4 linked regions of the Tamandua tetradactyla genome follow. The protein of the gene in region 1 interacts with the protein of each later gene in a pairwise test. Links are inferred from orthologs where the notes say so. Each region holds a gene or a part of one and is shown in the gene's direction. Other genes may lie near its edges. The genes, in order: GSE1, TNIK, TRIP6 and C2H1orf94.

Region 1 (7,674 bases):
TGTGCTTACCTGCTCCCGGGCTCCTGACACATGGGAGAGAGGACATACCTGAGTCATTGGGTCCTTGTGGTAATATCCAGCTGGACTTCCACCCTGGGCTGCTTTACACACACACACACACACGAACCATGTGTGCACATATATACATACACATACCTTTACATGCACATGTATATACACTTTTGCACACATGCACACACCTATACATGTATACGTATATACACCCATGCACACACACATACCTACACATGCACACATTATATACGTGCATGCACACACATACCTATACATGCACACATGCACATACCTATACACACACATGTATATACACATGCCCACATGTATGGCACACTCAGGAAGTTTTCCTGGCTCTCCAGTTTAGCTGAGGAGACCCCACATCCCTCCATTTGGGCTCTCCTTGCTCTACCTCGTGTGCCACCCCCGCATAGCCCACCGTCTCCCAGAGTGCGGCCAGGCAGCGGCACCCGCTCCGGGCCAGGCCCCCTGCCCAGCGCCTCAGTCACTCTCACTGGAGCCGCGCAAAATGTCTGTGAGGTGGGGGTCACTGCCCCCCACCAGAGCAGAAACCTGAGGCTTTCTCATGGGGTTGAGGGTCTGCCCAAGGCTTGGGAGGGACAGGATAGGAGTGGGACAGGTTGGGGCGCTGGGCAGGCCCCGGACACACAGTGAGCAGGTCAGACCTGGCTCTGCCCTGGGGGAGGAGAGGCAGGAGTGAGCCAGACAGGGAGCGAGAGACAGAAAAACAAATAAAACCAAATTCCTCTGCCAGGGGCTGAGATGGAGAAGGACGAGGGGGAGGCCTGCGGGGGGTGGGGGGGGGGCGCGGTGGCACTGGGAGCCCCTCTGGGATGACATCTAAGCTGCTGGAGCCCGAAAAGCATTGCAGGAGGAAAGGGCAACACGTGCCAAGCCCTAAGGGGCCCAGGTGCTCCTCGATGGCCCACCTGGATCTGCTAAGCCCAGGCGCTGCTTCACCAGCAGTCCACGGGGGTGTGCATGTGTGTGGGGGGGCCACACAGTCCCCCAAACTGTGCTGAGACACAATGAAACAGACTTGCCCCTTTACAGTCTTCCTAATGAGCCCCCTCCTCTCGCCAGGTATTAAAAAAGCCAGGGGCCAGGCTCCGCCCTCCTGCCCTGCCCCCATGTCTCTGGGACAGTTTTCCTGACACAGCGTTTTCCCGGGCCTGGGTGAGGGACAGCAGTGCCAGCATTTTGGCAACAATGTTCCCGTTAACCCCTGGACTGTGACCCCTGGAATATCCACCAGGGACTCCAAAGACGTGGCCGTTTCCTCCTGTCCGTTTATTTATCCCTATTTTATTTTTATTCCATATGTTCTACTCATCTGTTGACAAGGCAGATAAAAGGAGCATCAGACACAAGGTTTTCACAATCACACAGTCACATTGTGAAAGCTATATCATTATTCAATCATCCTCAAGAAACATGGCTACTGGAACACAGCTCTACATTTTCAGGCAGTTCCCTCCACCCTCTCCATTACATCTTGGATAACACGGTGATATCTACTTAATGTGCAAGAATAACCTCCAGGATAACCTCTTGACGCTGTTTGGAATCTCTCAGCCATTGTCATTTAGTCTCATTTCACTCTTCCCCCTTTTGGTCGAGAAGGTTTTCTCAATCCCTTGATGTTAAGTCTCAGCTCATTCTAGGGTTTTTCTCAATCCCTTGATGCTGAGTCTTAGCTCATTCCAGGATCTCTGTCCCACGTTGCCAGGAAGGTCCACACCCCTGGGAGTCATGTCCCATGCAGAGAGGGGGAGGGTGGTGAGACTGCTTGCAGTGTTTGCTGCAGAGACAGGCCACATCTGAGCAACAAAAGAGGCTCTCTTGGGGGTGACTCTTAGGCCTAAATTTTAAGTAGACTTGACCTATCCTTTGTGGGGTTAAGTTTCATATGAACAAACCCCAAGACTGGGGGCTCAGCCTATAGCTTTGGTTGTCCACACTGCTTGTGAGAATATCAAGAATTCAACTTGGGGAAGTTGAATTTCTCCCCGTTCTCACCATTCCCTGAAGGCGGCTTTGCAAATACTTTTTCACTCACTGATCGAATCACTCTGGGATTCATTAGGGCATCACTCTGGACAAACCAGCAAAATCTCATGTCCTACCTGAGATTCCAAGTACTTATGACATTCAATCAAACTATCTACATGAGTTATATTAGGAAATGCACTAGTTAAAACATAAATTTTGTAACAAATAAACATTTTTTGCTTTAGTCTCACACATAAGCTGACCTTTTAAAATGTCCGTTCATTTTTAATGCATGGTCCGTCTCCTTGCCAAGAGGAGGCCCAGTTTTATTTACAAGTCATCGCCCCAGAGGACGGAGGGGCCAACCTGGCACCTTTGTCACCAGACCGCCTTCCGGGCTCCAGCTGGCAGGTTGGGACAGCTGTCACTGCTCAGAAATCAGAACTCCTAGAATTCTGAGGCCGAAAGGGGCATCATTTCACAGATGGGAAATGTGAGGCCCAGAGAAGCTGGAATTGCCTAATTGCCTGGCTGGGTCCCCCCCACCCCCTGACATGAAGGTCTCTGTCCCAGCAGAGCGGGGGAGAGGCGGCCCAGCCAGGTGGCTGGGACCAGCCCTGGAGCCCACTCCCGGGGTTTGAATCCCAGCTCTGACCCTTCTGAAAGTAACAACCTTCAGTGCCTCATCTCTTCCACCTGGAAAGTGGGGCTGATGACAGCGGCTCACAGTCATTAGAAGGAGTAACTACCATGCGCGTTAAACCCCTCGAACAGTGTGCAGCACCAGTCAAGTCTCCATGTGTCTGCTAAATATGACATATTTATATACATAGGCAAGAAATACACGGGGACAGTTCATCTCAGCTGCAGCTCCTGTTGACAAGAGAAGGAAAGAGTCCCAGAGAGATTGAGTCGCTTGCCCAGAGACACACAGGGTCATTTCGCCTCTGTCGGTGACCCCAGTACCCTCTGGCCAGCAGTGGGAAGGCACGTGCCCGGCCAAGGATTCTGCCCCCACGGACAGGGATCATGGGGACAGTTCTCTTCTCTGCCTCCAAAATGAGAGCAGTGGCCCCTGAAAGGTGCCCAGCACCTGGTAAAAGGTGCTCACTGCACGTCCCCTCTAGAATGGGGACAGGGCCAGGTCCCCCGGCCGGGATAGCCCCCGACCAAACCGTCCGCCTTCAGCGGCCCCTCCCGAGGCCTGCCCTTCATCGATGGCAGCTGGGTCTCCAGGGGCCGCTGCGTCCTTACCTGGTTCCGCCCGCGTCCCGCTTGACCTTTAGCTAAAGACCAGCTCCGGCAGCCCCGGGGCTGCCTCGGGTCCCCGAGGAGGCCCCTCAGACGGCTTTGGCCGCGCGGGCTGGAGCGAGCCCCTAATTGGGGCCATGAATCATTGTGCGCGGCTCCGGGGCTGGACACAAAATAGATAGAGGAGCCGGCGAGCTATTGTGCGCAGTTTGGGACGCGGGAGGAGGGGAGGCGGGCGGAGGGAGGGGGAAGGGGGAGGGAGGGGGAAGGGGGAGGGAGGGCTTCCCCCGCCCGCCCTCCCGCCCGCCCGCGCGCCCGGCCTCCCGCCCTCCCCCTCCCCCTCCCCGCCCGCCCGCCCGCCGCCCCGCCTCCCTCCTCCCCAATTAAATGACCCAACGCTTTGGCAGGCGCCGGAGCTCGCACATGCGGCTGCCGCTCCAGCCGCCCGGGGCCCGCCGCCGCCGCCGCTGCGTTCCGGGCGCGCTCGCCGCGGCGCCGCCTCGGCCTGGGCCGCCGCCGCTGCCGGGGGCTCGGCGGGCCCGGGGGGCGTCCCAGCGGGCGGCCGTGCGCCCGGGCCGGCGCCGGGCGGCCGCCGCCAAACTTTGCGGCGCGCACACATGGTGGGAGCTGGGCGCGGCGGGGCGGCCTGCGGGGGCGCGGGCGGCCGGGGAGCGCGGCCATGAGCGGGCGGGCGGCGCCGGTCTCCCGCAAGCAGCGGCTCATGGCCGCGCTGGGCGAGCGGGCGGCGGGCGGCGGCGGCCCGGGCTCCGCGCTCTCCTGCTTCATCTGCGGCGGCGGCATCGGGCGCGGCAAGGAGCTGAAGCTGCAGGTGAAGCAGCCGGCGGCTGCGGCGACGGCGGCGGCGGCGGGCGCGGGGGCCCCGGCGCAGCCCTTCTTCCCGTTCCTGCAGCAGCAGGAGCCGGCGCCCGGCGCGCGCGAGCTGTCCCCGGCCGACGGCTGCGTGCTGGTGTGCGCCGTGTGCCGCTGCTTCCTGGGCGAGCAGTGGGCGGCCTTCGAGCGCGCCCGCACGCCGGTGGACAAGCGCATGTACTGGCTCAAGCGGCCCCACCAGTGCGACGCGGGCGCCGGCGGGCGCCGCGGGGGCGCCGGGGCCCCCCGCGAGTGGAACGTCGCCTACGCGCTGGGCGCCGCCGCGGGCGACGACGACGACCACCAGCGCTCCGAGTCCCGCGCGGCCGCCGACGAGGTGCGCGATTCCGAGCTGTCCGAGCTGTCGGACACCGACCACTTCTCCGAGCCCGACCCGACCGCGCGCGGCGCCGCCAGTCCCCTCCAGGACGGGGCGCCCCCGCCGCGGGCCACCCCGGGGTCCGGCACCCGCGGGGACCGCGACCAGGAGTGGAGGCCAGTGCCAGGGCCCCCTCCGGGACAGGGCGTCAGGCCAGCCGCCCCCGGGCACGTGGAGGAGGGGGTCCCCTCGAATGCCCACGTGGGCGCAGAGCCCAGGGTCGGCGGCAGGCGCAGGCGGAAGGGGGCTGAGAGGCCGTGGGTCCCCGAGGCTCGGGCCAGCGTCCTGAGGGGCATTCAGGACACTTGGCAAGGCCCTCCCGGGCAAGTGCCCACCGCAGAGGGCAGGAAAGGGGCTCCGTCGGGCAGGGCCACCAAGACTCCAGAGAGCAGGCCTCTGGGGGAGACACGCGGAGGCTGCTTCTCCTCTGAGGACAGCGACATCAACATCACCAGCGAGGAAGAAGATCGCAAGGAGCAGCCTTTCCTGGACCGCAGGGGCCCCCAAGAGAAGGAAAATGGTGGCCGTGTCCCTTGGGTTCCCCCGGAGAGCCGGCCTGGGCCACCACTGGAGGGCCTGTGCTGCTACATCTGTGGGTCTCTGCTGTCCCCGGCCTCCCAGCACCAGATCCACGTGCAGAAGCAGGAGAGGCTGGCCCAGGCCCCCTTCTTCCCCTTCCTGTGGCTGCACAGCCCGCCCCCCGGGGCGCAGCCCATCGGCCAGGGCGGCAGCACCCTGGTGTGCGCCTGCTGCTTCGCCTCCCTCATGCAGCAGTGGCAGAGCTTCGAGCTGGCCGATGTCCCCGTCCTGCAGCGGCTGTACGTGGTGCCCCTGAACCGCCACGCCCCCGGCCTGGCCTCCAAGGGCCCCCGAGCCCCAAAGGAAGAGGGCCTGCCCCCCAGGCCCCCGCGAGAGGCCTGCTACCTTTGCGGGGAGGACTGCACCCAGGATGCCCGAGCAGTGCCCTCCCGGGTCCTCAATGGCAGTGCCAGGAGCACCATGCACTTCCCCTTCCTGGGCCTCCTCCCCTGCCCCCCCAACGCCCGCGCCCCCAACAAGCACTGTGAGGTCCGCAGCTGCCCCAAGTGCTTCAGCATCCTGGAGGACGTGTGGGCCCTGTACCGCGCCTGCCAGAACGAGGAGCTCATCACCTCCGTGCAGGGCTTCCTGGGCAGGTACCACCAGGCCTTCTCTGACCCTGCCATCTCTGAGCCGCCCGCGTCGGTCCAGGGCGGCCCGGCGTCCATCTGCTACGTCTGTGGGGCTGAACTGGGCCCCGGCAAGGAGTTTCAGCTCAACGTGAACCCCTCCAGCCGCCTGGGCGAGAAAGAGCCCTTCTTCCCCTTTCTCACCGTGTACCCGCCTGCCCCGCACGCCAGGCCCGCGGATGCCACCGGCCTGGTGGCCACATGTGCACTCTGTTACCACGACCTGCTGGGCCAGTGGCTACAGCACGAGGCCCGAGGCGCCCACCATGCTGTCAGTGCCTGGTCGCGGCAGTACCACGTGGACACGTTCGTGTGCTTCTTCTGCCAGCAGGAGAAGAAGCGCTGTCTCGGGTTGAGGGCCGTGCGGGTGGCCCGGCTGCCCCTGTTCCTGTACACCTTGCGAGCGAGCCACAGCCTGCTGGTGGACGACGGACGACAGCTCATCATTGGTGCCTGTGTGGAGTGCGGGACCCTGGTGTGTGCTGGCCATGGACTTGGCCGCCAGGGATCCATAGGCTGGAGCTCCCCAGTGGCAGCGGCGACGAAGGTAAGCAGTGCATCCCGACTTGCCTCAGACTGTTCTTCTGAAATCTGTGCAGGGATGGGAGAGACCAGTTTCCATTTCCCTGTGGGCAGGAGTGTGCATTGGCTCTGGGTGGTGTGTCTCAGCAAGAGGTGCTCTCTTGGGTCACTAGGCTGGCTCTTGGTGGGTGCCTTGGCCTGGCTGAGGTCAGAAGACTTGGAGGGCCAGGAGCAGGCTTGTGGGAGAACAGGGCGCTGCTGCAAACAGTCGGCACAGAGCTGAACTTGAATGTGTTTGCTGCGGAATCTATCAAAGAGAGGAAGTTCATTGGCATGTCTGTTGTCCTCCTGATAACATTAGTAGTTAGTCCAGCGAGGCAGGTCTCAACATTTACCCTGTATGCAGCACATCAGAGGTGAATATGCCTCTCGGCTCTAACTCCCCCCAAAGCTAAGCTTTTCCCGAGTTTTCCAGCAGCAAGTCCACACTTTTCCTTTGAGACACTCTGCTTGCTTAACAGCAGCTAGAAACGGATTTCCAGACATGGGGGTGTGGGGATGCGGGGGACAGTGGCCTAAACAGACTTTTCCCCCAGTGGGAAGAGAGTCTTTCTTCTCTGCAAGTCAGCTGTGCAGGACGTGGGAGGGAGGCCTGGGCTTCTCCCTGTTTGCAGGCGCCTGTCTTCACGCTGCCTGCCCAGGAGGAGCCAGACGAGGCTCAGTTAATTTTGGATCCCGATTTGCAAGGGCTGAAGCAGGAACTGCCTGCCCCATGGGTCTGGGGAAGTGGCTGCCTGCAAGCTGCAATCTTTGCCTAGGCCTCCGGGGCTGTGGGGCCTAATTTCCACCGAACATTGAAACTGGCTCATTTTAATCAAATGCCTGGTAGCCAAGGGGTCTGCAGGGGGGCGTGTGGGTGGGAGGGTGTCCCTGTCCCTGTCCCTGTCCCGTGCAGGAATGGTTGTTCCAACTCTTGAACATTTCCTGATCCCGCCTCCCACGTGTGCACATGTATGCGTTTTGGGGTGGGGAGGGGTCCCCTTGTTATGTGTTCTCAGGTAGTTGCATCTGTGAAGTGCATGTGTTTGTCCCATCTGTGGCCCCACGCCCACATGCTCTGTCCAGGTTTCCCCTGACATCTGATTTAGACTTAAAGCTGCCTTTGGGGGCGTTGTTGGGAGCGCCTCTTATTTTAAACCAGCAGCATGTCGCCCCCGTGGCACACCCCGAGCCTCTCCTCTGCGGCCTGGGATAAACCAGCCGGCCGGTCGGGAGTCCGAAGAAGGGCAGTTCCCAGAGGAGCAGAGGCAGGAAGAAGAGCCTGGGCTTTGCAACAGGATGAACCTGGCTCCAATCCTGCCCCTCGCTCTTGGTAGCTGAGCAGCCGTGAGTAAGTGTCTTAGCCTCTCTGGGCTT
Region 2 (7,584 bases), on another chromosome or scaffold:
TGGGAAAGCAAGGACTTGGTGTTCTCCAAGGTGTCTCAGTTTGCCAGGGCTGCTATGGCAAATACTCCACAATGGGTTGGTTAACTCGAGCAACGAGAATTTTCTGCTTCCTGGTTTTAGAGGCTGGAAGTCCCACAGGACGGCACTGACAGGGTTTGCTTTCTCCTGGAGTGTGCGGCAGGCTGGTAATCCTCCATCAATGCAGCTTTCTCTCTCTTCATGTCCTCCTCAGATTTCTGCTGACTCCTGGCTCTTCCTGACTGCCTGTGTTCAAATTTTCTCCGCTTATAATGACTCCAGTCATAAGGATTAAGGCCCACTCTGATTCCATTTGGCCTTGAAGTAGGATCTTCGGAGTTCCTATTCACACATGAGGAAACACCTTAACAAGCAGTAACATCTTCAAAGGTGCTATTTGCAAATGAGTTCACACCCAGAGGACTATGGGATTAACATGTCTTTTGTGGAGGGCATGATTCAATCTTTGTGGTAGGCTGAATTATGTACCCCAGAAAAAAAACATGTTCTTGATCCCATGCCTGTGGCAGTGAACCCATTGTAAATGGGACTTTTGAAGATGCTATTTTTAGTTGAGGTGTGTCCACCTGAATCAGGATGGGTCTTCATCCTGTTTCTGGGGGTCTTTAAAAGAGAAACCACAGAGAAGCGCCAGAATGGAGGAGCTAGAAGTCAGAAGATGAAACGCAGGCATCAGATGGACCTCAGAAGAGACACTGTCATGTGATGGGAAAGACAAGGCACCCCAAGATTGCCAACCTGCCAGAACAACTACCCATCCCACGAGGAAGCAAGCCTTCCAGTTTACAAAACCATGAGACAGTGAATTCCCATTACTAAGCCAACCCACTATGCATCTACGTCATAGCAACCAGGAAATTAAGACAATTTCCAACAAAAGGCTTTATCTTCACAGCTTAGAACTGTATCTTGCACAGAGTGAGCAATCTGTATATTTGCTGAATGAATCAGAGAATGAATTACTGCAGTTCATTGGTCACTCACCCAAATAAATGTGCCTAATCCTAGATCCATTGCCCCTAAGCTTGAAGCTGCCCCTGCTCTCACTCTAGTCCGGCCCCAGATGGTTTTTGATTGTGGCTCCATTGGTAATCCAGTCTTGCCTGTTTTATGTAACCTAAGAAATCCTCTGAGTTTCCGGACTACTGGGGCTGCATTTTTGTGTCTTCTAGAACTATAATGAATTTTTTAAAATATCCTTTTTTGTTATATCTAGGGATTTCTGTTATTATAGAAGATGCAGGGAATATGCTTTTAGAAGGTACACAAGCGGTATTTCAGATCCCCAGTGTGATTTTAGGTGGTGCATGATTTGACATTAAATAATACTGAACCTAAAAGCGAGAACATTACCCACTTAGGGATTTTCTTTCTTTTTTATAAATATTTAAAAATATATAAACATTTTTCAAATATACAGAAAGAAAAAGAACAATACCATGAAATCTGATCACCAACCATCCCGATTTAACAATTCCAAACAATTTATCATATTTGCTTGAGGTCTTTTTGCTTTTTTAAGACAAATTAAATATTGTTGAAGCATCCTTTGTGCCTTCCCATTTCTTTTTCCCTTCTCACTATGCTAAGGCTGAGCTGTCTCCTTTCTGCCTGTGTCCATGCTTTTCATAGTTTACAACAAATTTATATGGACATAAAATAGCATGTAGTATTTTTCTGCAGGCTTTCAAATTGTACATAAATGGTATAAATTCTCTCAATCTTCCAGACTACACCAAAGAGGAAAATTGTACTTTGGTTCACGTCTTGAATGCCTTTTCTGGCATTTACTAATCTCTCTTTTAACAAAGTGAAAGCAGGCCTCAGCCTAAAAGCCCGGGGCAAGCGATGATAGCTAGCTTCAATTTAATAATATTCATTTATTTTCCATTATGTTTATTTTAATTGTTCCTTTCTATTTTTTACCAAGTGTTGCTAGCTTTCCATGTACCATAGTGATTTATGTTTCCTTTTAAATTAATGTAAGAAAAAAAGTAAAGTATTGATTTAAAAAAAAGTTTAGCAATAATAACAGTACAGGTATACACAGACCTGACAATAAGTTACAAAGATTGTACTGGAGTAGCTGAAATTTCATACACACTTGACCTGGAGGATAAAGTTCAAGGTCCTCATTTGAGCATGCAAAGCTCTGCCTCATCTGACCTCTGCTTACCTCTCCAGTCTTTTTAACAGTCACCAGCCTTACTTTTCTTCTAGCAACACATCTGCTTAGAGTTTCTCCTCATCTTACCCTAACAGCTGGCGGTGCCTTCGCTATTGTGATCATCCCCCTTGTATGGTATTGTCTGCAGCCAGTATCCCCGCCTCCTCCTCCCCTCTCAGCTCCTCTCAGGCCCCTAGGACGCCCTCTACCTCACCACTGCACCGAAAGCAGAATTTCCTAACCAAATTCTGAATCCAAGGATAGAAATTTGATGCCCGTTATCATTGCACACTCATGGCCTGGACAGCGTACTAATGCCTAAAGAAGCGATCCGTTTGTGACATTTTGAATAAAATCTGGGTAACAAAATCAAGATGCTTTATGGAAAACAAACAAAGCAACCACATCTTTACCCCATTTTTTCCTGTGTTGGAGGTTTAAAAATAGTTCTATTTATAGATCTCAATGTCTGATCCTTATTTTCTTTCAACATGAGTCAATACATTAATTTTCTAGATGAAGGACAAAAAAAAGGGGACATAGGAGGGAAGAACAGGAAGATGAGAAATGAGCTTTTTCTTTTTACGTCATTTCGCAGAGCTTGGGGGCTTACTGCATGTTACTTACTGCACTGAACCGTGTGGTTGTGTTAGAAAATGAGAGGTCACAACAAGCGCTTTGAATATAACACGTTAATACGCTTGAAAATAATGTTTAAAGAGAAAGCTCCCAAACAAAACTGTTATGAGATTTTAGAGCAGCTTTCAAGTTTCATACTGAATGATCCACAATGTATAGGAATAAATACGATAATATTAACAAAAACAGTACAGCACACACCAATGTTGTTTAAAAGCCCCCTAATGTCTGGCAGTCAGGCTGAACTAACTGGTTTGGCTTCCATTCATTCAGTCAAGATCCTTACTCGGAGGAAGCTGAAATGCACACCACATGATTTCAAAGTCCTCAGTGCACTTGGCCAGAAGGAAATTCTCTTCCTATCAGAGGTGCAGAGAATATTTCCAAAGTTACTACTGTATTTGGGGAAAAAGTTCAGTTTAAAGCGTTTTCTTCTTAAATATCTAATGGAGCGTGGCCCAGGCCTGAGAGGAAGGGCTTGAGGGAAGTGATTTCACACCCTCGATTACAGAATGCCAGGATTACCACTGTAAACATTCGGCCTTGCAATGAGAAAGCGAGTGAAGGGCAATTGTTCTCACGCGTACATCTTGCCTGCTAACATTTTATCCTCCGGCCAAACTTTCTCCACTAGTTCGGATAGGTCAGCGGAGGAAACGCTGGCTGAAAAAGAAATGCAGAATCTTGGGGCAGCGTGCGCTGCCTCAGCCAGTGCTGCCTTTGGACAGTTACCTGGAGCACAGAAGCAACTACAACCTAAGCACAAGCTTCTCGGTTCAATTCGGTCGTTTCCGTGGGGGAACTGCGGCAGGGGCAGGTCACGGGTGTGGCGAGCCCAAGCCGGAGCTACGATCTCCCGGGTTTCCGGCTTCTGGCAAACGTCCCCTGCCCCGAAGCGGCGGGGGACAGGCCATCCCACATCCCGGAGACCGCCGGAGGCCCCGAGCCACAATCGCTGCAAACTGCCAAATGGGGCTGGGCGCACTGTATGCGCTCCTCTCCCTACTCGCTCGCAGGCTGGAGGCGGATCTCCTCTTCCTGCACACAAGTCCTTATATGAACCGGCTGCACCCACCGCGTAACTCCGGCCCCACAAATTCATGATGGGGGAGGGAGGCCGTTGCTCTTTCTGCCTCCGACTTTTGTCAACGCCAGAGCATCTTGAGACCCGCCGAGAAATCCCAGTGTGCGATGGCACGGGCCATTTTGCTGCAGCGCACGAATCGAACACAAGAAGAAAGCCTTGTCAATATGATAAGCACGTCAGGGTTCAGGATCAGCCTTTGGGATCCAGCCCGACGCGCCCGCGAGAGCCTGGGCGGAAGGGGTGCACCCCTCCCCCCTCGGTGCTGGTGCGGAGGACCGGTCAGGAAGCGCGACCTCGCCCCATTCCGAGACCACGCCTCCTCCGCGTCCTTCCCCCTCCTCCCCTTTACTCCTCCCAGGAAGCGGTGATCGACAGCTCGGTGTGGTTCTCCACCCCCACCCCCAAGCTGAGTGGAGGAGTTGATGTGTCTCATTATAACAGCCAATGCAGCCGCCATCCACGCACAAGCAAAGAAGCATGCCCCATTTAAATACACCCACGCAGCCCTAGCGCCCTTAGCCGATCGGGGCGCTCAGCCCACACGCACCGCGGCTCCGGGCTTGGAGATCGGCGCAGGTCGCTCCCGGACCCGGCGGACAGGCTCGCCGAGGATCGGGATCCGACGCTGTGGGGGGTCGGGGTGGGCGGGGGAGGCTGGGCCCGGGGACCTCTGGCGCGACCCGCTCATGAGGACGCGAGTGAAGTAGAACCGAGGTGGAATTTGCAAGGGAAAAGCTTTGAGGTGGTTTTGGTCCATTTTTCCGGAGAGGAAGTCGACATGGCGAGCGACTCCCCAGCTCGCAGCCTGGATGAAATTGATCTCTCGGCTCTGAGGGTGAGCAGAACGCGTTTTCCGATTTCTTTCCAGTGGTTTCGGGCTGGGTGAGTGGGCTCGGTGCGGGGGCTGGGGCTGACGGGCAGAGGCAGGGAATGGAACCGGCAGGGAACTTGGATTGTCGGTTGGGTCCGGAGACTGCTAAGGTGCTCCGGGATGAGTCGCGGTGGCAGGGACCGTGCGGTACGTGTCCTCCTTTGGCTGTGGCTCAGACTTCTGTGAGAGCGCGTGGACCTTATGCCAGTTTCATCTTAGACCAGTGTCAGAGCATTAAAATGAAAGACTTACTGGTGTGTGTGTGTGTGTGTGTGTGTGTGTGTGTGTGTGTGTGTGTGTGTGCACGCGCGCGCGTACACGCCCAGGGCAGCCGTCTTGTGCCAAGGCGCGAGACCCGACTATCCCTTTCTGCAAAAAGAATGATCAACGGCGTGAATAAAAGGCCCCTGCTCCTCGCGTTTTGCAGCTACCTGCAAGATGACATTGTGTGCATGACTGTCCCCACGAAGACGAACCTGCTGCCCTAAGGGGCCAGCGATTGCTAGGCTGGTCTTGCAGCTGGCCCCTGCCTCCCCTCCCCGTCTGCCTCCTGAGCCCCGGCACCCTTTCCGCGCTCCGGGAAATGTCATTCTGCCACTCACCTTTCTGTCTGCTTTTCACTCAGCCCCGCCCGTGCTTTCTGACTTTGTGGCTGTGACAATTTAGCTTGATGGCTGCACTCAAGCAGGTGAACGGCAGGTCTTTTTCTGCTACCACCCCCACCTCCCATCGCGCCGGAACTCCCGGGAATGTCTGTTTTCCTTGTGTCTGGGGCCAGTTCTTTGTAGCGCCCCCCCTACACCTTCCCCCCCACGGCCCCGGCCCCACTGGTTTGCCTTTCCCTCGGCGCGAATTGCCTGAGATGCCGTTCCATTGTATTGACTAAGACATCACTGGTACAGAATCCATTTTGCTGTTGTTTTGAGATAAGAAAACCAGGAATCCCAGTGCAGCCTCTACGCTTCCCCACCCCCCACTCCCAATCCCAGTACGGTCCTCAGGGGAAGGGGGCAGAGCTTTCTTGCCATTTTAATTAGATGCTGCCTGCCGAGAAAAGAGTGAGGAGAAGGATTGGGCACCGATTTATGGACGATGGCTTCCTCTTCTGAACCAAAAAAAAAAAGCCACTGCATGTACTTGGTGCATTGGAGGGTCAATGAGACCGAATGGATGAGGGGCTCTCAGCACAAACACGCAGGGTGGGTGACACACTGAAGTTCACACATGCCCTCGCAAGGAATATGCCGTTCAGACTGATGCTAAATCTTGGGCCGTTTACCTGACTCCGGAGTTCTGACTTTGCTTCGGTCTCCACGAATATTTTAAAGAGTTCCCACTCTGATCAAAGCGGTTTTATTTTTTTCTTTAGCCTCATTAATCCCACTCTCTCCAGCCCCCCCCCCCCTTTTTTTCTAACTTCCTTCTCCCACTCTAAATTCTTCAGTCCATGAGGTGAGGTTTCAGCAAGGCAGTCAAGGAATTGAGAGGGAACAGAGATGCCATTTGAAACTGGCTGTTCTAATAGTTGGGCAGCAAAAGCTCATTCATGTGCCATTACAGTAAGCTGTTTCTCTGGTGCTGAAATGCCACGTTCAGAACCCGCTGTCCCCTGGGCAGCTGCGGGGACTGGGGGCTGGGGAGTGGGGAGGGAAAGACGGAGGTTTCTTAACAGGGTGGGTGCTTTGGCCAAGTCTGTGGTTTCCTGCTTTAGGGGCTGTGTGTGTTCATTCGCCCTACTTTCTGCCCCAGGCATTGCTGTGGCCGCGGTTAATCAGGTGGATGGGTGGCCCAGACTTGGGGGCGGGGGAACAGTTCCTGGGGACAGGAGCTGAGCTACCGGCAAGGTTGGTGATGTTTAGGAGGCTGAATCTCAGACACCGCTCCTCTAATGCAAAGCACTCCGCTGTGATTTTAAGTTGGGCTGAGATGTGTCCTCCTGGGATTTTTCCTCGGGAAGATTTTCTGAGACACCCAAGCACAGAGCCTGGAGGCTACCAGCAGCGGGTTCACCCAGCCAGTGGGGTGTGCGGCTCACACTTGGGATACCTGCGCTTGTGAAATTTGCATTTTGCAAAGGTATTTTTCCAATAATACCTGTGTGTGTGAAATTTGTATTTTGCAAAGATATCTTTCCACGATTCATTGGTATGGCTCTTTGTGGCCTGCCTGCAGTGCCAGTTTAGTGCAAAACTGGAAAGGGGGAGGGCAGTAGCACCAGAGATTGAGAAGTGCTGGCTGGTGGTGAACTTCAATGGAGATGGGAGACAGTCACATCCCCGGGTGCTGGGGGCAACCCACAAGTCTCGTGGGGGCATACAAGCCAGGAGAGGGTTTAGAGGCCACACAGGTAATCTCCCCAAATCAGAGGGCAGATCGTCGCTGTCTTTCCAAATTAGGAGAGGTGGGCTCAGCTAAATGAATTTGTTCCCCAAGATCTCAGAAAGGCCTCTGTGCCAGAAACCTCCTGGGGAATGCCTGACCCCTGAAATGCAGCCAAGGTCAGTGGCTTCTGGGAGAATTTGCTGCAGCCTTACCAATCCCTTGCTGTTTCTGTGGCTCTCTAATGTACACAATCAATGCTCTTTTTGTAAACCCTAGGCTCAATGCATTAAAACCAGCTCATGTCTGGAGAAGGCTTTATCCTCATTTTGGGGGTTTATTGTTCTCAGCCAGTGATCCTAGAGCTGGACCCAGTCTAATTTTTCCCTAAATAGTAACAATGCATAATTTAAACCAGGGCAACCAGTGACAGCACTTATCATTTAAATTATGCAAGGTTTG
Region 3 (7,213 bases), on another chromosome or scaffold:
CACCTGCCTGCTGGGGGTGGCCTCCTGCCTGCTCATGATGTTTCTCATCAGTCCCGGGGCCGCCGGCGGCTCCCTGCTTCTCATGGGTCTGCTTGCTGCCCTGCTCACAGCCCGAGGAGGCCCCAGCAGCTGGGGCTACGTCAGCCAGGCCCTGCTCTTCCACCAGGTTGGAGGAGCCTGGAGGAGAGTGGGAGGGAGGCAGTCTGTGAAAGCCAGCCTCCTCCCTCGGGGGTTGGGGTTCGCATTCCTGTGGCACAGCGTGGGGACTGCCCCTTCCGGCCCTCCCTCCCACCCCCTCCTCCCTGTCCCCAGGTTCGCAAGTACCTGCTCCGGCTGGACGTCCGGAAGGATCACGTGAAGTTCTGGCGACCCCAGCTGCTGCTCCTGGTGGGGAACCCCCGGGGGGCCCTACCTCTGCTGCGGTTGGCCAACCAGCTTAAGAAGGGCGGCCTCTACGTGCTGGGCCACGTCACCCTGGGGGACCTGGGTGAGCTGCCCACATCCCCACCCTTCCTTTCTGCTTGGTCTCAGGCATTCTGTGTGTCCCAAGCGCCTTGTCCTTCTTCCCACATGACCCAGCTGACCAGCCACCCAGGCTTTTTCCCTCTGCCCATTAAGGGTTTGGTCTCTACGAGAAAGTAAATGAGTTTGTCCGACACTGGCCACCTCCCTTTCCCTGCAGACTCTCTGCCCTCGGACCCCGTGCAGCCGCAGTACGGGGCGTGGCTGAGTCTGGTGGACCGGGCCCAAGTGAAAGCCTTTGTGGACCTCACCCTCTCGCCCTCCGTGCGCCAGGGGGCACAGCATCTGCTGCGAATCTCAGGCCTTGGTGAGCCTCTCCTCCCTGCCCCACCCTTTAAATCTCAGCTCCCGCCCCAGAGAGTAAACCATAAACTGCAAACCCCAAAAGGAAATCATGATCTAGTACAGCTAAGAGGCAGTGCTCAAAGATAACAGCCTCAGACAGTGGATGATAAGGTTTCCTCAGAGATGCAAAGGACTAAAAATGGGGTGATACTGCTTTTTTTTTTTTTTTTAACCCCTGAGCCAAAAAAAAAAAAAAAACGGGGCACAAGCTCTGATTAAGTAGGTTATCTGGGGACAGTGGAAGAATGATTTGAGTCTGGAGCTGCCCCATCTGAAGTAGCGCAGATGGTTTCTCACCACCAGAGTTGAGAAAAAGGAAGACTACCATGCACGGAGGTGGCCAGTAAAGAGTGTGAAGGGACGGCATCTGAGCCGGGCCTTAGGGGGTGAAGGCAGGCATGGTGCAGTGCAGTCCAGAGACCACAAAGCACGCTGGGGGCACGTGGGGTTGATGCTCTGGGATGGGGGGAAGGTTCCCAGCTTTGCAAATGTATCTTGGAGCTGTGGCTTCTGGCCTTGTACCACACGTCCTGCCAGATCCATGCTCAGCTGCCTTCTCTGCCCTTCATCCCTGGGCTGGTGTCTGTCTCCTATGAGGGCAACCCACCTCCCCCATTTAGAACCTGGCTCAGGTTCATCAGTGTTGGACATGGCCCTATTTGGTACCAGTCAGAACCCTAGAAAATGCTCAGGAGGGGGTATGTCTGGTTGAACTTGCAAGATCGGCTTTAGTTCATACCTCCTGAGAGCTGCCCTTTGTGAGGATACCTGTGCAGAGACCCCTGCTTTCACAAAGTGCATCTTGATTTAAGTAAAAGGGAAGGGATCTCTTCTAATTAGGAAATTCTCCCGGCACATAGAATTTGACTTAGTGGTAAATTTTTAGCAACCCAGTTCCTTTCCAAGAAAGGGACTTAGGAGAGGTCTCAGAATTTTCTTGCAAATTCAGCCCTTTCTAAGGGGGAGAATTGCCTGATTCCCCACTGCTGTTCAAAAGTTAAAACTCAAGCCCTCAGCAGGGACGCTGTGGTTTGTGCACACATCAGCTTAGGGGTGCCAAATACTCGGCTGTGGTGCCTGGCAGCCTGTGTTCTCACACTGGCCCGGCCACTTACTGGCCTTGAGACTTTGGGCTGGTGATTTCACGGCTCTGTGCTCATTTTCGTTGTCTGTAAAAGGGGGAGCACGGAGTCCCCACCCCGGAGATTGTTCCAAGTATTAAAAAGTTAAAATATGAAGGGCTTCCAGCAGGCCCTGGGCCCTGGTAAGCATGGAGATGTTAGCTCTGTCTTCTCCCAGGATTGTGGGGAACTATCCTTGGGGCGGTGCTAGAGGGGAAACAGGCCGCACAGCTCCACGTTCTCTTCCCCTTGAGGCAGGGTCTGGAGCTGAGTTTCCTGGCCACTGAGGCTGTGAGCTTGACTAATCAATTGGGGTGTTTGTTCTGCCCAGTGGGGTCTGCTTCTCATCTCCCGCTGGCAAAAAGATGTGCTGCTTCAAAGCTTGGAGTGAATGGCAGCCGGGTCCTTGCTTCCGACCAGGACTGCTCCTTAGTTAAAAGAATCCTAAGGCAGACTTTGTCTATTTAAGCAGCGATCAGTAGTGTTGATCAAACAAATGCGCCTGAAAATGCTGAGGAAGAACTAGAAGTCAAGATGCAGATGCGCATTATGAGGCCTTAAGAGGCCAAACCACTGGCTTGAAGGTGCTATCCGGTGAGCGCGCACCGCTGATGCAGAGCCCTTCTCCCCGCCTCCCCCTGCCCGCAGGCGGCATGAAACCCAACACGCTCGTCCTGGGCTTCTACGACGACGCGCCGCCGCAGGACCACTTCCTGAGCGACCCGGCCTTCTCCGAGCCGGCCGACGCCGCCGCCGGGGAGAGTGGCGCCCCGGCCCTGAGCGCCCTGTTCCCGCCGCCCCGGGCTCCGGGGAGCCCCCGGGCCCTCAGCCCCCAGGACTACGTGGCCACCGTGGCGGACGCCCTGAAGATGAACAAGAACGTGGTGCTGGCCCGGGCCTGTGGGGCGCTGCCCCCGGAGCGGCTCGGCCGGCGCCCGGGCGGCCCCCCGCAGCCGCACCACGTGGACGTGTGGCCCCTCAACCTGCTGCGGCCCCGGGGTGGACCCGGCTACGTGGACGTCTGCGGCCTCTTCCTGCTGCAGATGGCGACCATCTTGGGCATGGTGCCTGCGTGGCACAGCGCCCGGCTCCGGATCTTCCTGTGCCTGGGGCCCCGGGAGGCCCCCGGGGCGGCCGAGGGGCGGCTCCGGGCGCTGCTGAGCCAGCTGAGGATCCGGGCCGAGGTGCAGGAGGTGGTGTGGGGCGAGGGCGCCGGGGCGGGGCAGCCGGAGGCGGCCGACGAGGGGGAGGAGGGGGACTTCGTGAACGGCGGGCGGGGGGACGCGGAGGCCGAGGCCCTGGCGGGCAGCGCTAACTCCCTGGTTCGGGCCCAGCAGGGGCGCGGCGGAGCCGGGGGGCCCGGGGGGCCCGAGGGCGGGGACTGGGACGCGGGGCCCGCCACCGCCCTCACCTTCCTGTACCTGCCTCGGCCACCAGCCGACCCCGCCCGCTACCCGCGCTACCTGGCGCTGCTGGAGGTGCTGAGCCGGGACCTGGGCCCCACGCTGCTGGTCCACGGCGTCACCCCCGTCACTTGCACGGATCTCTGATGGCCCAGGCAGCCCTTTCCTCGAGGGGGCGGCCGCCTCGGCGAGTGGGGAAGGGGGACGAGGGCAGGCGCCTCCTCCCGCTGCCCTGGAGCCGGATGGAGACGCTCCGGGCGGCCAGAACCAGGACCGGGAAGCCCCCCTCCCCCTCGTGCACCGCTGCCCACCCCCCTGAGCCCGGGGACGGACGGGCCGCTGTCCTCTCCTCGGACCGGTGCCTTGACAGGAGGGGCTGGTTCTCCTCTTGTGACTCTAGGCTACCTCAGTTTACTCCTTCGTGGCTGACAGACTCACTGACTCCTGAGGTTGTGATGTTTTTGTTCTGTTTTATTTTTCTAACTCTGCTGAACGTGAATAAAAGACCCAAAAACTCGGCTGGCTGAGCATTGCCTGGTGGGGTCGGGGAGGGGGCGGGGAACGGGGACATCTGCGGGGGCGGGGGGGAGTGGGACAGAGAGCCGAGCGGTCCCTGCAGAGGTCCACGTGCGGAGTCGGGGGTGGGAGCCAGGGGCGGTGAGGGCCGTGGAGGCTAGTTTGGGGTGGGGAGTTCGTGGGGGCTGGGGGCTGGCGCGGGCCCCATCCCGTCCCGGGCGGACGCGGGTGGAGCCCTTCCCACTCGGCAAAAGGGGGCCAAGTCGGGGAGGGACGGCAGTTTGGGGCCTAGGGGGCCACGTGACCCTCCCCCAGGAATGCGGTGACGTCATCGGAGGCGTGGCCGTCCCCCAAATTGGGGAGGAAGGGAAAAAAAAAAAGCCAGAAAAGTTTCTTTCCTGGAGTCCCGAACGAAGCGTGGAACGACAGAGCAGGCCACGGCTGGAGGACCCTCCGCGGTCAGGGGACCACTCGCTGGAGCCTCCTCCCCCATCCCAGGCCATGTCGGGGCCCACCTGGCTCCCCCCGAAGCAGCCGGAGTCTGTCCGAGCCCCTCAGGGGAGAGCGTCCTCCCGAGGCTCCCCGGGGCCACCGCCAGCCCCCGGAGCAGGTAGGGCAGCCCTGCGCCGCGCGTGCGGCGGGACGGGACCACCGCGGCCCAGCGCCCTCCCTCCCGCCGGCGCCTGCTTCCTGCCGCCCCCTCCCCCAGGCCGGGCTGGGGCTGGCGGCCAGGGTCCCCCTCTCTCCCCGCCCTGCAGCCCTCCCTGCCAACTCGGACCCCAGGTGTACTCCTCCTCCCCTCCCTCATCCCCACCTTTGGTCTCTCTTCCCCTCATCCCAGCCCTCCAGCCCCACCCCAGGGTCAATTTTTGCCCCCTCCCATCTGAGCAGTGTTACCAGGCCCCCGCGGTACCGGAGGATCCGGGGCCAGCCTGGGTGGGGTCCTATGGAGCGCCCCAGCGCTCACAGGTGAGAACTGGGATTGGGGGGCAGGGTGCGTGGGGCCCTCGGAGCTGAGTGTGAGCCGGACCCAAGATGGGAGAGGAGATGTGATTTGCATTCTCTCTGCTTTTATTCCATCCCCAGGGACTCCCCCCAGATAGGGGGGGCTTACGCCCAGGAAGTCTGGACGCTGAGATAGATTCTCTGACCTGCATGCTGGCTGAACTGGATGGGGGTCGTGGTCATGTCTTACGGCGACCAGACCAACAGGTGAACCCCTGTCCGGCCCCCTCCTGCCCCCAGCCTGCCCATCCTCCCCAACCTGTCCCTTTCCCTCGGTTCTCAATCCAAATCCAGTCCCCTTCCCCTTCCTACCCCATACACACCCATATTGAAAAGCGTGGGAACGGGAGCTCTTACTAATTGTCTGTGACTCAAGGGCAGGGCCGCCTCAAACACGTGGAAACACATGGTTCCATGAACACATGGTCTGGAATGGGCCTTGGTCATTGTGGTCTGTGTTTCCCCCCAGGCTTATGAGTCCCCTCAGCCCCCTGCCTACCGCTCCAGTTCCCTGAAGCCGAACAGAGGGGGTGTTCCAGCCCTGCAGCTCCCAGCATCCTCCTATGGGGGTCCCACTCCGGCCTCCTACGCCACTGCCAGCACCCCAGCTGGCCCGGCCTTCCCTGTGCAAGTGAAGGTGGCTCAGCCAGTGAGGGGCTGTGGGCCACCGAGGCGGGGGGCCTCTCAGGCCGCTGGGCCTCTCCCTGGCCCCCACATTCCTCTCCTAGGCCGAGGGGAAGTCTGGGGGGCTGGCTATCGAAGCCACCGGGAGCCAGGGGGTAAAGAGGAGGCTGCTGGGGTTTCTGGTTCAGTCGGAGGAGGAAGAGGAGGCGGATATGGGGCCCAGGTAAGCCTGAGGCACTGGGATTTTGCGTCCTCATGGACAACTAGATGCTGATGGTACGGGGTACAGGGTGGAGTTTAGTGTCCTGGTTTTAAATCAGAGTCTGAGGGCCCGGGCCTCAGAGCTCTGGATCCCTGAGGGATGTGGGCAGCCTGGGAAACAGGAGGGAGAGGGCTGCCATTGGCTCTGTGAAGCACTCCTGTACCTAGGGCTGAACTGTTCTCAGATGGGTTTTCTGGGTTGACCTGTCACTGTCAGGAGTAGTTGCCAGAGGTAGGACTGAAACCCCGATTCTTGCCTCCCAGGTCCCCCTGAGCCAGCCTCCGGAGGAGGAGCTGGAGAGGCTGACCAAGAAGTTGGTGCACGACATGAACCACCCACCCAGCGGGGAGTACTTTGGTGAGCAGGGTGGTGGGAAGGGGCAGGGGGTACTAGAGAGTCAGAGGGACGGTGGGCCTGTCTTCCTGGGTCTGTGCAGGCTGACCTGTTTCTTCTCTGACCCTAGGCCGGTGTGGGGGCTGTGGAGAAGATGTGGTCGGGGATGGGGCCGGGGTGGTGGCCCTCGACCGAGTCTTCCACGTGGGCTGCTTTGTCTGTTCCACATGTCGGGCCCAGCTCCGGGGCCAGCATTTCTATGCTGTGGAGAGGAGGGCATATTGTGAGAGCTGCTACGTGGTGAGTGGCTGGGAGGCTGGCATTGGCAGCAGGAGGCAGGGGGCTTCTCTCTAATGCAAGAACTAGCTGTCCAAGCCTAAAAAAGGAACAGGTTCAAAGCTGGGAGAATTGAGACTGAGACAGGAGAAGAAAGGAAGAGTTAGGTAATAGCTAAAGATCTGGGCTGCTGGTGGGGAAGGACAACATTCCTTTCAAGAGCAAGGCAGATGAATTAAGGAGCTGCCTTAAATTCCCACCATGCCCCTGCCAGGCAGGTATTCCTATTGCTTCCCATTTATATAGCTCAGAGACATGAAATGACTTGTCCAGTAACCTGCAGTGCTGAGACTTGAACTCAGGTCCTTTGCAATGATTGTTCACTGAATCACTGGCAGTGGGCTAGATAAATAGATGGTGGGCTGACAGAATGACTGGAGAGCTGCCACGGGGCCCCCTGACCATCCTGCTCTCTTCCCCACAGGCCACCCTGGAGAAGTGCTCCACGTGTTCCCAGCCTATCCTGGACCGGATCCTGCGGGCCATGGGGAAGGCCTACCACCCTGGTTGTTTCACCTGTGTGGTGTGCCACCGTGGCCTTGATGGCATCCCCTTCACTGTGGATGCCACCAGCCAGATCCACTGTATTGAAGACTTCCATAGGTCAGGCCCTGCCCTGCCCTTTCTCTCAGGATGCCCGGCTCTTCCCATCTCCCTCACCTCTGCTGTTTGCCCAGCACCAGTCCTGTTTCTAATCCCTGGCCCTGTTCTTTGGCCTCACTCTTTTCCCTAAGACCCCTGTCCAT
Region 4 (7,010 bases), on another chromosome or scaffold:
TAGAAAATGGCAGGGATTGCTCATGGTCACCAGAAGGGGAACCCACAGAGTCACAGTTTTTCTTCTTGAAGACATATCTTTTAAAAAACCAGACTCTGCAGCCCAGTCTGGTTGCTGGGACATGCAGGGGAGGCCCATTCCCAAGAAACATGTTTGCAACCTCCTCTTCCTTCAGTTCTGATGGTCTGTCTCTGAAGAAATCTGGCTAGGACCTACCTCTGCATGGGCCCCGCTCCTGAGCTGTTTGACCCAGTAAGCATACTAGACAGGGTAACTGGGGTCTCTCCCATTTTTAGGGACCTACAAAAAAGTTTTAGGCCTGAAAATGTCATTATTAGCTTCAAAATACAAAGAGGAAAACCTGCAACATTTAAATCATTAAATAATTAAGTGCAAAATGTAACATTATGTTAAGTTCATTAACTGTTGAATTCAGTCATAAAAATTTCATTACATTTGATAAGAGTTTGTAGTTTGGATTTTTCTCACTGTGCAAGATATCCTGAGTAGGCACTGAGACTGGTGAGAAATCATAGCCAATCGTACATGAAATATATTACTCATGGCCCCAAATTTTCAAACGCAAAATGGAAAAACCCTCTCAATTTTCTTTACAGCCAAAACGTTGTATTTTGGAGGCGAGGTGGATGTGTTTGAAACATATTAGATGCAGATTGGAGCCTGTAAGAGTAAGCAGACTTAAGCCCACAAATACCTTAAAAGAGCCCAGGCTGTGTGCTCACCTTTCTGGATTCTCCAACCCAGCAGCTTTGTGTTGGAGGTGGAAGCTAGGTGAGTGCAGGCTTTGGCTGAAAGATATGTGAAAAGGATTGCCTTCTTCGGAGGCATTCCTAGAGCCAAATAGGAAAGTAAGAATTCCAGAACCCTAAATAATCATAGCTGACATTCGTTGGGTACCTAGCATGTGCCAAGCTAACTAGTCTAAATACTTTACATGTATTATCAATTATCATGAACAACTCTGTGAGGTCAGTATTTTTATTATCTCTGGCTCATAAATGAGCAAATAATCCTAGAAAGGTTAAACAACCTGCTCTGGGTAATATGGTTAGTGAGGAGTAAATTAAGAATCTTTCCAAGCTAAAAATAATTCAGAGATGAAAGGCTGTCTGTTAACATCTAATGAGTCATTTCAAGCTCTAAGAAGGAAGGGACCAAGCCAGTCTTCTTCACTATCTATCTTCAGCACCCCAAACAGTACCGGGCACATACATCTGTGTTGAACAGAGACTGGAATAGCATTTATCAAACCCGTGCTGTACTCCAGGGCACTTATAGAATGCTTGTACCTCCTTTGTTAGACTGTGACTTTGTTTAGAGCAGAGGTCTCATTCACCCTAACTCCTGTGTCTCACACAGTCTTGGCCCATGGTAGGTGCTCAAAAACCTACTTTTTGTAGATCCCTAAAAATGGGGGAGACCCCAGTTACCCTGTCTAGTATGCTTACTGGGTCAAACAACCATGCAGAGGTAGGTCCTAGCCAGATTTCTTCAGAGACAGACCATCAGAACTGAAGCAAGAGGAGGTTGCAAACATGTTTCCTGGGAATGGGCCTCCCCTGTATGTCCCAGCAACCAGACTGGGCTGCAGAGTCTGGTTTTTTAAAAGATATGTCTTCAAGAAGAAAAACTGTGACTCTGTGGGTTTCCCTTCTGGAGACCATGAAGGCCAGCTTAAATGAGGCCTGGTGTCCATTTCTCTGCCACAGAGCAATTTCCTGTACAACTGAAAATACAGCGAATATTCTCCTTTTTGCATGGCACAAAGTCTTGTTATTCAGGAACTCCAGAGACACACAGTCCAATATAATCAGAGAAAACTAATACACAGCATGTTTATATGCTTCTTATTTGCCAGGTGTTGTTCTAGGAACTAGCCATGTGGTAAGCAATTATTTAGTAATAGAACATTTATAACAATTCTACAAAGCAGGTGTTCTTTATCATTCTCATTTTACAGATGTGGCAACTGAAGCACAGAGAGGTTAAGTAACTTGCCTGAGTTTACGCTGCTAGAACTCAGAATTTGAACCCAGGCAGTCTGTCCTAGAGCCTATATGATCACGGAAATGTCTCCTGTGCTAGTATTCTAAAACTAACCACATGTGGCTGTTGGGCACTTGAACCGTGGCTAGTACAACTGAGAAGCTGAATATCTAATTTTATGTACATTGAATTAATTAAACCCAAATAGCCACATGTGACCAGGGGTTACTGTATAGCACACAGTTTATATTATCTCTAAGTGTATCAGTTAAGGTCTGCAGCATCTTCTGGAAGCCTCAGTTGTGTGCTCCAAGAAACATCCTTATCATTGTTCCCTGTCCCGTGTCTCCTGCTAAAGGGGAGAGAGGGCAGAAGGAGTAAGTGAGCTGGCTAACTTTCCAGGATCCCATGGCCTGGGTAGTGCAGGGTAGCTGGTGTTCTGCTCTAAGCATAGGTGTTAGCCAACCAAATGCCAAGTAGCACAAACACTGAGTGACATTTTCAGAACTATTAATATTTCATCAGAAATTATCACTTTGCCTTTAAATACACTATCTTAAAAGGTTTTCTACATTCTTAACTATAATTTTATTCAGTCTAGGTCCTTGGAATTTTCCCCAAAGGAACACGTTTTCAATTTTATAATGAAAATCAAAGAGGGATGAAGCTCGGATTTCAAAATTGAGTCAACATTTCCAGGAACTCAGCCTCTCTGTAAAGAGCAAGGTAGTGTATTGGGCACCTACTATATGCCAGACACTTAACATATAGTATACCATTAATTCACTCAACACATATTTACTAAGTGCCCACTATGTGCTGGAAATTTGAGTCTCATATAATTTATTATGGTTTACTGTCACCATTTTACAGGAAAAACTCTCTCTCATCCTTCCTGCCATCTCAAAAGTTATGTCCTCAAAGAAGTCTACTGGACCATCGTCTTATGGGGACCCACCTACTCCCCATTGCCTCACTTTGTTCTTTTCCGTCCCAGCCCTATTGATCCATAAATATTGTTTATTTTTTGCTTTGCCAAGTCTGTGTGATCTATCATCCTTCCCTGGAATACAGGATCAGGTGAGCTCTTTTGTTCATTTTCGTGTTTCCTCAGTGCCCAGCAAGGGCCAGAGGAAGGGCTAATCAATATTTAGTGAATGAATGAGTACATAAGATGGGAGAAGTTAAGCAAGTCGATCCAGGTCCCACACCTTGGAAGTGGCAGTGCCAGGAGTCAGTCCAGCTCCATGTCTATAGGCTGCCTTCTCGTTTATTTGTATCCATTCCATTTTCTTCTTTCTCTGCCTTCTTACTCTTCCTTCTCAGAGGAAACAACCCGAGGAACAACCACTAACTCCTGGGGCTGGAGGGCCTGGGGCAGAAGTCTTGGGTCATTTCCGAATGTAATAAAACAGTTTCAATGAGAGCAGAAGCTACCTGACTAGCAAACTGCACACTTGGCCCTTCTCTCTGCACCTCCGCACCCCCCACCGCCGCCCATTCCCAGGACGCGTGGAAGCCCAGCGCGGGAAGGAAGAGGCTCTCCCGGGGATCAGAGCGCGGGCGCAGGCCTCGAGTGCCTGGGTTTGAATCCCAGCGCCCGTTTTCGCTGTGGGCCTTCAACTCATCCGTTTATGACCGTGAGACTGTTTCTGCATATGGGGAACGATAATAAAGACACGGTATTAACTGCGTGAGTTTGCAGAGATTGTGTATGATGACACGGAGAGCTCAGCGCTCGGCACACAGGAAGTGCCCATAAAATGGCACTTAGGGTTATAATCGGGCGATGTGGAGGAGCACGGCCCGCTGGCTGGCGCCGAGGTTCCTGCGGAGCAGCGGGGAGAGGAGTAGCAGGGTGAGAGGCTGCCCCGCTTTCTTGGATTTCTAAGAAGGGAAAGTGCCCGGGACCCTCGGGGCGCCCCCGCCCCCACCGCGGCGGCCTGAGGGCCTCGGACGCCGAACCCCCGCGGCCCGCGCCCCGAGCCGTTGCGTTTGAAAGCCACAGAAGGAGTTGCAGCGCTGGACGGGAAGGGTGTGAGGGCCGCTGGCACGCAGATAGGCCAAAGCCGCCCCGCCCTGCCCGCCCTGCCCGACAGCGCCCCTTTAAAGCGTCGGGACCCTTCCGGGGGCCCAGCCCGGCCTCCTGGCGCGGGGGGCGCGACCGGCGTCTGCTGGGGCTGCCGGGGGCGGCTTGCGGGCCGCCCGGATTGACTGACTCAAGTTTTCTTGCCCCGGGGCGGCAGAGCAGCCTCTGGAGAAGGCGACAGAAGGGGGTGGGGGGCGAGCAAAGGCGGGCACTCGGTGGGGAGAGGGGGTCAGGGGCCGTTGGCCCTCGGCCTGGGAAGGCCGGAGCTGAGATTCTAAAGGCGGGCTCCTGCCCCCACCGGGCCTAGCCCGGAGCCAGGCGCCTCACCACTCCCCCCCTCCCCGTGGCTTAGTAGGAGAGGATGGGCTGAGCCCCAGGCGCCGCCAGGTGTCAGGGGTGTGTCGCAAGGGTGGAGCGCCTGGGATTCTGGGGAGAGCCAGCCCTCCCCCTCCAGCCGTTCCCAGATGTCCTTCTGCCCGCCCAAGCGCCTGGTTCCTGAGCTCCGGGGGATTCCACGGTTACTAAGCTACTGGTTTTTGTTGACTTTTAAATATTTTCTTCTAAGGGAGAGGGGGAGGGGGACAAAAGTCAGGGAAGAGCAGATACAAACAAATCAAACTAAGCTCCCCCTCCCCAAAAGAAAGCCGTCCTCTACCCACCACTCACAGACAAATCAGGGGCCTCAGAACATAGTCACCTCGTCCAAGCAACGGCCAGCCAGAACTGACCTGCCTCTGCCAGTGCCCATCCTTATCTCCCTTTCTGGTGAATGAAGGGTGGTGGCGGATGGTCCCTCTGTCTGCGAGCCCTGGGCAGACAAAGGGGCTTCCGGAAGGAAAGGACGAGAATGGCCAGTGGGAATGGATTCCCTTCATCCTCGGCCCTGATGGCCAAGCGCCCCTCCGCCCTGGGCCCATTCCCCAGATACATCTGGATCCACCAGGACACACCCCAAGACAGCCTAGACAAGACTTGCCATGAAATCTGGAAGAGGGTTCAGGGTCTGCAGGAGGCCTTGCAGCCCAGGACCTCAACGGAGCAGCCCTCTGCCCCCATGGCTGGGACTCCACGAGATAACAGGCTCAGCTTCCAAGAAGAGTGAGTGTACCCCTGCTTGGTTGGCATAAGGGAGGAGGGAGGAGATGAGTTCTGACTTTCCGGGGAAATGCTCTTGCCCAATATTCAGTCTGATTAAACCCTAAAGACTATATACTTTTCCTCTACCCTTCCCCATGGTCTTTTGTTCAGCCTTTCTGGAAGAGCTGTCTTAGGTCTTGACGTTACTGGATGAAGGGCCAGACCAGGGCTGTATTCCAGGCTGCTTCTTCACCAGCCCAGTAAGGGGACATATTTCATCTTCAAGGCATAGCCAAACCAGATTTGGGGTTGAGGTTCCTCAGAAAACGCCCTAGCCAAGGCTGAGGAGCATGTAGATATCTCTTTTGAAGCTTGTGGGCCCCGGAGACCCTTGGCTTTCCCCGGAATCTGACAGAAGATCCTTCTTCTGACCCCCCCCCCCCCAAAGGTTGGGCATTCACACAAGATAAGCCTGGTGGTTTTAAACCACATCTGGAATTCCCTAATACAGGAAGCAGCTGTCCCATTCAGCCTTCACAGAAGCTGCTGCAAAAGCTCACATCAAAATATTTACTGGGAAGGCATTGACATATTCAGAGGACATAATAGAAAATTAAAGTGTGGGAAGAAGGCTGTAAATAGCCCGTTTCCAGGATGGGAAATCCTGTGTCTGGGATACACAGAGCTAAATGTTTCTTTACCAGGGCAAAATTGGACAGATATTGTTGGGAATAGATATTTGCAAGGAGAGAAAGAAGCAGCGAAAAGGAAGAGACCTCATTAAGAAAAAGAAAATAAATTCAGTGTGGCTGTTAATGCCACTGTTGAGCACTTCTTCAGTGCTTTACAACTTCAAAGTGGACCGCAAACATTAATTAATCCTCCTGGAGTCCCGATGAGGCAGGTATTAGTGTCCCCATTTTACAGATGGATTAAGTGTTAACAGTTAAGTGCTAATTAAAGACTAAGCGATAATTAAGTGTTGTCTATGCCAACACATGCTCCAGCTCAGTTCAGAGATGCTCTGGAGTGGGGGAACCATGCAGGCAATTATCAGCTGCCTCCAGATTCAGGGATCTCCAAGCAAGAGCTAAGGAGAAAAGCAAACTATAGCTGCTACACAGGTCTGCACTGAATGCTGCACTTACCAACTGGCTGCAGACCAGGGTGGAAGGCACTTTGGCTGCGAATGCCTCCCCTGCCCTATGCTGAGCAGGATAAGGCTTGGATGGGAGTGGCCTGTCTAAAGCCACAGTCGTGCTGTCAGGCCCTCCAGTGGCAATAAGCCTCTCTCCCCTACCCATTGCCATCTGCTCAGAGACAGGGCCTTGGCACAGGGACCCAAGGGACTGTGCTCAGGTCCCATTGGCCAGGCATCCAATTGTCCACTTTGTGGACCAAGGGTCAGTAGCAATTTCCAGTAGGCGGCACACTCCCTGCCAGGTCCCACTGAGTGAATAGAGACAGACTCTCTTCCAGTCTGTACTTGGCCAAAAATTGAACTGGCACACCTTTGACCAGTTGCTTAATTTCATTTGGCCTGGATTTTCTCATCTGCAAATTGAGGATGATGTGTCCTGCCTTGTCCACCTCAGAGTTGATAATGAGGATCAAATATGATGGAAGACAGGAAAACAGAGATGCATTATACTAATGTAGGCTGTCCTTAAAATATAATTCTTGGGTTTGGGCATTTTTGTTGCTGTTGTTATTGTTGACTTCTACCTGGAGTTCTAAACCCATGCTCCACAGACCCTAAGGTGTTGCAGGGGCCACCCAAGAGTCAAGTGGACTGGTTGCTGGGTTCCAGTCCCCACTTCAACCCAGCTGTTCTGTT

The links.
Region 2: the proteins of GSE1 (region 1) and TNIK interact in a two-hybrid assay, tested with the Homo sapiens proteins (2 studies listed by BioGRID and IntAct). The link is inferred for Tamandua tetradactyla from reciprocal best matches to the Homo sapiens genes GSE1 and TNIK.
Region 3: the proteins of GSE1 (region 1) and TRIP6 interact in binary tests that used the Homo sapiens proteins (3 or more experiments, as listed by UniProt). The link is inferred for Tamandua tetradactyla from reciprocal best matches to the Homo sapiens genes GSE1 and TRIP6.
Region 4: the proteins of GSE1 (region 1) and C2H1orf94 interact in binary tests that used the Homo sapiens proteins (3 or more experiments, as listed by UniProt). The link is inferred for Tamandua tetradactyla from reciprocal best matches to the Homo sapiens genes GSE1 and C1orf94.

What each region holds. Positions count from the first base shown.
Region 1 is NC_135342.1:79,795,927-79,803,600, forward strand, and holds the start of GSE1 (genetic suppressor element 1), read left to right. Parts: upstream 1-4,673; 5' UTR 4,674-5,293; coding exon 5,294-6,283; intron 6,284-7,674.
Region 2 is NC_135331.1:68,895,016-68,902,599, reverse strand, and holds the start of TNIK (TRAF2 and NCK-interacting protein kinase), read left to right. Parts: upstream 1-4,578; 5' UTR 4,579-4,710; coding exon 4,711-4,767; intron 4,768-7,584. UniProt on the Homo sapiens protein: Serine/threonine kinase that acts as an essential activator of the Wnt signaling pathway. Recruited to promoters of Wnt target genes and required to activate their expression. May act by phosphorylating TCF4/TCF7L2.
Region 3 is NC_135349.1:8,877,339-8,884,551, forward strand, and holds the start of TRIP6 (thyroid receptor-interacting protein 6), read left to right. Parts: upstream 1-4,198; 5' UTR 4,199-4,408; coding exon 4,409-4,517; intron 4,518-4,748; coding exon 4,749-4,876; intron 4,877-4,993; coding exon 4,994-5,119; intron 5,120-5,381; coding exon 5,382-5,759; intron 5,760-6,061; coding exon 6,062-6,155; intron 6,156-6,261; coding exon 6,262-6,431; intron 6,432-6,891; coding exon 6,892-7,070; intron 7,071-7,213. Other genes in the region: SLC12A9 (solute carrier family 12 member 9), read left to right, coding at 1-166, 313-487, 683-829, 2,637-3,538. UniProt on the Homo sapiens protein: Relays signals from the cell surface to the nucleus to weaken adherens junction and promote actin cytoskeleton reorganization and cell invasiveness. Involved in lysophosphatidic acid-induced cell adhesion and migration.
Region 4 is NC_135328.1:191,532,358-191,539,367, reverse strand, and holds the start of C2H1orf94 (uncharacterized protein C1orf94 homolog), read left to right. Parts: upstream 1-4,006; 5' UTR 4,007-4,865; coding exon 4,866-5,194; intron 5,195-7,010.